Linked DNA regions of Arabidopsis thaliana. The protein of the gene in region 1 interacts with the protein of each later gene in a pairwise test. Each region holds a gene or a part of one and is shown in the gene's direction. Other genes may lie near its edges.

What was found.
Region 2: the proteins of NAC050 (region 1) and AT3G49950 interact in binary tests that used the Arabidopsis thaliana proteins (3 or more experiments, as listed by UniProt).

What each region holds. Positions count from the first base shown.
Region 1 is NC_003074.8:3,262,172-3,266,103, forward strand, and holds the start of NAC050 (NAC domain containing protein 50), read left to right. Parts: upstream 1-2,176; 5' UTR 2,177-2,238; coding exon 2,239-2,458; intron 2,459-2,648; coding exon 2,649-2,678; intron 2,679-2,759; coding exon 2,760-2,828; intron 2,829-2,932; coding exon 2,933-3,210; intron 3,211-3,301; coding exon 3,302-3,487; intron 3,488-3,630; coding exon 3,631-3,722; intron 3,723-3,833; coding exon 3,834-3,879; intron 3,880-3,932. UniProt on the Arabidopsis thaliana protein: Transcriptional repressor that binds to the motif 5'-(C/T)A(C/A)G-3' in the promoter of target genes. Also binds to the 5'-CTTGNNNNNCAAG-3' consensus sequence in chromatin.
Region 2 is NC_003074.8:18,520,241-18,524,172, forward strand, and holds AT3G49950 (GRAS family transcription factor), read left to right. Parts: upstream 1-2,225; 5' UTR 2,226-2,329; coding exon 2,330-3,562; 3' UTR 3,563-3,694; downstream 3,695-3,932. UniProt on the Arabidopsis thaliana protein: Probable transcription factor involved in plant development.

The sequences.
Region 1 (3,932 bases):
TTAAATTTGCAATTTAAACAGATTACTTGTTCATGTTGACATTGAAATAGCAGGTCGAGAGCGAGAGATCAAAATGCAATGTATTATGCCCTTAATTTATGCTTTTATATATTTTGTTTATTAATGTCACATATCTTATTATGGATATACTTTGCAACGGATCACAAATCTTACCCTGAAATATGCAACCTGTTACCGGAATTGAAATTTCATAACACACTATTCTCAGCTCTTCAAGATTCAGTGTTTCATTCGTGAAGACGAATGCATGTTGTTCTAGTCTCGATACGAGAAACTGCGTTTATGAAAATAAGAAAAAGAAGAATAAATTAGCATGGGCTTGATTTACACCCGTCCGTCACCGAAATGGGCTACAAATAAATCATGGGCTTTTAATATTCTAACTTAGAAGAAATTTGGCCCATTGCTTAAACACGAGGCACAAACCATATATTTTTTTTGAGCCAAAAAAAAAAGTCTTGATATTTTAGCATTTTGTCCTTTTTGGAGACAGTGGTGTCAGATAGCTGACAACCTATATAAATAAATAAATAAAATAGAGTTTTCTTTTACTCTTACTTTCTTTATTAGTTTCATAATAATATGTGTAAAAGTAAGAGTTGGATATTTTTCGTTTTAATTTCTGCCTTCGAATTAGTTACGCATACAAAGCATAAGAGACAAGAGACATAGCGTACCAAAAAAGAAGAAAATAGTGCAAAAATATCATATAGTTTTCTGGTACGCCTCATCAATTCCACCCCCGTACACCATAATTATATAGAATTTCAATATCGAAATGTCGACAGCAACAAAATTCAACATGTCGAATAATATTGTTTTAAATATTCCATTTTACTAGAAGATGAAAAAAAGAGAGAAGAAAGTAACCTTTTGTCTTTGTCACCTTGACTTAAACAGTAATACAAACCCCACAAGTAAATTATTCAAGTTCAAATCGTAGTTAATGTTTATATTTGAGAATTGCAAATGGTTTAAACGAAAACCAAACTACGAATTACAAATTTGAAGAGGACTTGTACTAGAAAATAAATAGAGAAAAGAAGAATAATAAATAGTAACAGAAAATGGGAAAGATGATGATTCGTGTGGACCAAGTCTCTCCTCCCCTTTAGCTTGCCTTATTGGTAAAGTATCCTCCTGCAAGCAAACGTATCTGTCACTCCTTTTTTATTTTCTTTCACCTTCTATCTTATTCTCATTAATTCTTCTTTTTTGGTCAACTTCATGTATAGAAAATAATACCAAAATTTTTTGATATAGTAAAACTATTAGAACTGAATTTCAAACAAAAATAATACAAATTTAAGCAAAAAAATATTAAAAATAAATTTTAAAGAATATTTTTACATATAATAAATATACATAGTTGATACTTTTATATAATTATTAATTTATGATATTAATGAGACCATATATTTACATAGAACATTCAAAATAATTATTATCTTATTAATCTATCGATATATATCACTTTTTATACTAGTTTTTGGAATCTTAATAATTTATTAATTTGTAGAAGTTATTAATTTATAGAGGTTTTACTGTACATGTCAGCATTTAACTTTTGATAAGCACAAAACCATTACATATTTTCCAACCAGATTATTTTCTATTTATCCTAGCGTTTGTAAATCTTTGAACTACAATAATTTATCAAATACAATATAAGATTTTTATACTAAAGATGTATACAATGCATTTAACATTAAAGGAAACAAATAAACTCTAATCTTTTAAAAAAATACTTTACCTTTTAAAAAGAGTTATTAATCACATAAGCAATATTTAATTTTTCATTATTTTTTTCATCATCTGTCTAACATATTACTTTTTAAAAAATATTTATCGTTGGATACTTACTTTTCAGACCACACACTAGGACTAGTGGTTCCTTTATTTTACTGCATAGAACGACAACAAAAAGCTAAGCAGTAACATTTTTTAGGGTTTTATTACTGCAACACTCAAAAATGAGAAATTATTATTAAAATTGAAAATGAAAAATAGTAATCGCAATCCGAAATTACTTTTTTTCTAGCCTTCTAGGAACTCGAAAAGAAAGCAAATTTCTTGCAATTGAAGGTACCTGCTTCTCTTTTTCTGGTTTGTCTGGTTTCATATTAAAAAAAACATTTTGACAACTATATTTCTGGTTTGTCTGAAAAAATTGAGAAGAAAACCTAGAAACAAATACGGTCTTTTTTTTTTCTTTTTATGGGTCGCGAATCTCTGGCTGTTGTGTCCTCGCCGCCATCGGCGACTGCGCCCAGTACTGCTGTGTCGGCTACCTCGCTTGCTCCTGGCTTTCGATTTCATCCGACTGATGAGGAACTCGTGAGCTATTACTTGAAGAGGAAGGTTCTGGGTAAACCTGTACGCTTCGATGCGATTGGAGAGGTAGATATCTACAAGCATGAGCCCTGGGATTTAGCAGGTTCGTTAGGTTTCTTCTTCTTCATTTCTGCTTATCTCTATGATTTGGGGGTTTCTGTGAATTTGATGCTTCTGATTTGGGATTTTTGTCGCCTGGGCTTATTGGTTGTTCCGTCTTCTGGCTCAATTCTGGGAAATGAGTTTAGCTTTTACGTGCTCCGATTCGTTTTCTGGGAAATTTTTTGTTGCAGAGAAGATTCTCTGTTCGTACCTGGCGCTAAGTTTAGGCAATTAGGCTTTAACACTGTGAAGACATTCCATCCAATTGACTTCTTAACTGAAGAAAGTCGAATTTTCTTCAGATTGCTTTAAGAATTTCGTGTTTGCTTGTGCTACAGTTATGTTTGCTTGTGCTACAGTTATGTTTGCTTGTGGATCAGGAAATGAAGTTTGTTGCTTGTGTGTTTGGCTATCTGAAGTGTTCTCAAGTATGATCTGAAAGAAAAAAAACCTTGTGATGTGTTGTGTGTTTCAGTGTTTTCGAAGTTGAAAACTCGGGACCAAGAATGGTACTTCTTCAGTGCGTTAGATAAGAAGTACGGTAATGGTGCTAGGATGAATCGAGCAACTAACAAAGGGTACTGGAAAGCAACTGGAAAAGACAGAGAAATCCGCCGGGATATTCAGTTGCTCGGTATGAAAAAGACGCTTGTTTTCCACAGCGGGCGTGCTCCAGACGGCCTTCGGACTAATTGGGTCATGCACGAGTATCGCCTTGTGGAATATGAAACTGAAACTAACGGAAGCCTGCTGGTATTATGTTGTCCAAAAGAGTTACTTTTGAATTGGGGTTATCTCATTTTGTAAGAATCCTATCTTATCTTACTTCTTTGTCTGGGTGCAGCAGGATGCATATGTGTTGTGCAGAGTGTTTCACAAGAATAACATTGGGCCACCAAGTGGGAACAGATATGCGCCATTCATGGAAGAAGAATGGGCTGATGGTGGAGGAGCTCTGATTCCAGGAATAGACGTTAGGGTCAGGGTAGAGGCTCTACCACAAGCCAATGGAAACAACCAGATGGACCAGGTTTGTACTTTCTTTATACTCAAATGTTTCTTATATGCATAACCTCTGTGATACATCCCTCTAATGTGAATCATCTCTCTTGATTCACAAGATATTATATTTCTTATTGCAAAAGCTCTTTGCTTCTCTAAGTGCTGTTTCAGTGGGCTGATTTACTTAAACTGCACAATTCCATTAAGTTTGCTATCACCTTTTGTAGAACTCAGCTCAACCTTACAGCTTTATCTAATGAAAGGTCTCTCTTGATTCACAAGATATCTAATTTTTCTTTATGGTCCTTTTTCTTTGAGATTTATCCTTTGATTACATGATATTTCAGACTTACAATCTTCGTTTGGCATTAAAGGTGCTCAACAAGAGAAATATTTATTGTGTTTTGGTTAATCTGCAAAGTCGATCAACGCGTTTTGGTTTGAGATATTTTATGTCTGTTGGGGTTCACATA
Region 2 (3,932 bases), about 15 Mb from region 1:
CTTCTCGGAATTCACGTTGATAACGAGAGCTATCTCCGCAGCTAAGGGCGTCGATGATGATTATGCACAATGACGAGAGTACTCTATGGTGCAAAGAACCGTTTTCTGAGAACCAGTAACATTTTAGGCTTGAAAGTTTGGAGAGTACTTGAAGACAAGAATTAGGAACATCAACAATACCAACAATAGGCTTATTAATCGTGCAAAAGGGGAAATTAGCAGCTTATTAGCCTTTCCACTAGATCGAACATGCCCTTATACGACAATTTGAGGCCCCTTATATATTTTCATCCAAATCACAACTTAAAAGGTAAGAATTTGTTTTGTGCATTTTGCACTAATATTTTTATTAAATTCTTGACAAATGACGTTGTCATGAAAAATTACAAAATATTGAATAACACTTGAATTTAGTAGAATTAAGAAATTGAGAAACTGAATAATACTAGAATTTAAAAGAATTTATAAAATGCCTAATTGAATAACACTAGAATCAACATTCTAATAAATTCCGTCAAATTCATTGCTCCAATACCCCCCTCCCCCCCCCCCCCCCCCCAAGTAATTGAAATGGGCTTGAAACCATGGGGCCGGAAATTTTCACTTTGTATTATTTTGATGAAGCCCAATAGACTTTACGGAAAGACCTTAGGTTTCAAGTAGGTTTTTAAGTTTTATGAAACAGAGAAACATATACGTGTTCGTGAAGGAGAAGACGTGAAGGTAACTTGGACTATAAAGTGTATAGTGTTAGCGAAAAGGTGAAGCAGAATAAATAAAGTGTTATGCGTTATCAAGTCTACCTAATATAACTAGCTAGGGATTTCTACTCTTGTTTTCATAATCGATCTACGGACATTTCTCGGAACGTGGTCAAGATTCATGAGTCTTCTGTTTTTTATGTCTCTGTTCAATTTGGTTTAGAGATTAGTATGCTTATTTGTTTATTTCATATATGGTTATGAGAGGAGAGGCTAATGGCATATACTCTGATGTTTGTGATGGCTGCTAATATCGTTGAGGAGTTATTCACGTTGTTTCATGCGCAAAAATCAACAGAAAAAATTCTGATTATGAGCCAACTCTGTGAACCCTTATAGTGCGCCCAGAGGTTTGCGAGGCAAAATCCCGATGAACCAGAAGGAATTTTAGATCTCTATCAACAATAACTATGATGGAGCTCGTTTAAATTCATCACAGCGACAACATCATTAGGCTGCCCAACGTCTATGTCTCCTGGAGGTGATGGTACTTGATCTCTCAACCAATTTTCTTGAAAATATCATGCCTTGTGAGCGCTTTCATATTGCGCCTAAAATACCCAATACGCAATGAACCTACTTCCAAAGGCATAGAAAAAAAACTGATAATGATAATGAGATTTGTCACTATACTTATCCTATCCCTACATAGGAGCCGTTTGATTGTTTAGTCCATGTTTTCATTTTGTTTAGTCTAATGCTATATAACTTTTCTTTATCAGTCTATTGTTATATGACTTATATATATCTCAAGAGATAAGGCCAATAAATCTTCTTCTTAATTATATCTGAAGACTCAAAACATATTTTGAGTTTAATAAAATAAATAACGTCCAAATGCTACATACAAACGGACCAAATTCATGGAGGTATAAATTTAAATTATTTTTTGTTCCAAAGTGTATGCAGTGATTTATTGATGAATGCGATAGAGCGGCGAAAGAGAATAATCGTCACCTAGAAGACAAATTGATCGGCCGTACATATATACATAAATACAAACCTGCCACTTCACATGTCACCCACCTTTAAGCACCCCCTTCACATACATACTTTCTATAACAAAAATATCAGCTTCTAGTTCATATTTATGTTACAATAACTCGAGTGAATCATACTAAAAAAATGTAATGCTTTCTCTAAATAGGAGATAAAATGCACCCTCCGACCTAACTAAAGATTCCTTATTTTAGCTATTTAAGACATATTGCACATGTATAGAGATACATAAACACATATGCAATATGCACATCTTCTATACATTGAAAAAAGCTGATCTTGCAAATATTTGTCTTACACAACACAAGCGACCAAAGCGATGCGTTTCCCAATGATAAGGTTACGACATACTTACACGACTCTCTCTATTGTCTCGTCTCTTTCTTTCCTCATCCCTCTCCTTTGTCTCCTTTCACTCTATTTTTCACTTTTCAGAATACTTTTACGTAAAAATCATGGACATGTCATTGTCTCCACCCTACTATACTCTTTTTTTGTTCTTTTTGTTTCCTCTTGTGTCACAAAAATAACAAGATTAAACGTACATTTCTCTCTAAAACCAGACTCAAATGACCAAAACCCGGATTCTCAACCCGACCCGATTCCCTTCTCCCAAACCCTTACGTGGCTGCGGCGACGCTAACTTCATGGAACAGCTCCTCCTTCACTGCGCCACCGCCATAGACTCCAACGACGCTGCATTAACTCACCAAATCCTCTGGGTCCTCAACAACATCGCTCCACCAGACGGTGACTCCACCCAACGTCTTACATCCGCATTCCTCCGCGCGTTGCTCTCACGCGCCGTCTCCAAAACCCCTACACTATCATCCACCATTAGCTTCCTACCTCAGGCCGATGAACTCCATCGTTTCTCAGTCGTGGAGTTAGCCGCTTTCGTAGACCTCACTCCGTGGCACCGGTTCGGATTCATTGCAGCCAACGCCGCGATCTTAACCGCCGTTGAAGGTTACTCAACGGTTCACATCGTTGACTTAAGTTTGACTCATTGTATGCAAATCCCTACTCTTATAGACGCCATGGCAAGCCGACTCAACAAACCTCCTCCGCTTCTTAAACTCACCGTCGTCTCTTCCTCCGACCACTTCCCACCATTCATCAACATCTCCTACGAAGAACTCGGATCTAAACTAGTCAACTTCGCCACCACACGAAACATTACAATGGAGTTCACAATCGTACCTTCTACTTACTCCGATGGCTTCTCCTCCCTCTTACAACAGTTACGGATTTATCCTTCTTCATTCAACGAAGCTCTCGTCGTTAACTGTCACATGATGCTCCGTTACATCCCTGAAGAACCCCTAACTTCATCATCATCATCGCTCCGAACAGTTTTCTTGAAACAACTCCGATCTTTGAATCCAAGAATCGTAACCCTAATCGAAGAAGACGTAGATCTCACATCGGAGAACTTGGTTAACCGGTTAAAATCGGCGTTTAACTACTTCTGGATTCCGTTCGATACGACGGACACGTTTATGAGTGAGCAGAGACGGTGGTACGAGGCGGAGATAAGTTGGAAGATAGAAAACGTGGTGGCGAAGGAAGGTGCGGAGAGAGTGGAGAGGACGGAGACGAAGAGACGGTGGATAGAGAGAATGAGAGAGGCTGAGTTCGGTGGAGTTAGGGTTAAAGAAGATGCGGTGGCGGATGTGAAGGCGATGCTGGAGGAGCACGCTGTCGGGTGGGGAATGAAGAAGGAAGACGACGACGAGAGTCTCGTGCTGACGTGGAAAGGTCATAGTGTTGTGTTTGCTACCGTTTGGGTTCCCATTTAAATCAGGTTGATTTAATTTAATTAGCGTTTTAATTGGATACCTAATATAGTAGAATAGCATTGCTTTAATTTCTGATCTAATTACAATTTAATAATATTTTTTATTAACTTTTTTTTTTGTTCTAATCTAGTGTCAATTGTTTTGTACTAGTTCAAAACATTCTAACGTTGAAAAATAATCGTTATTATGACTAAACATATTTTACATCTTCATAAGCACTTTTAGTTTACATAGATATTTTTCCGTGAATAGGCTTAGTGATAACAGTGAAAACTTATTATAATAGGAAAAATTGAATAGTATATAGTTATTTAAATTTGTAGCGAGAATAAACATGTTGGAGATACAAAGTAGAGAGGATCAGATACAA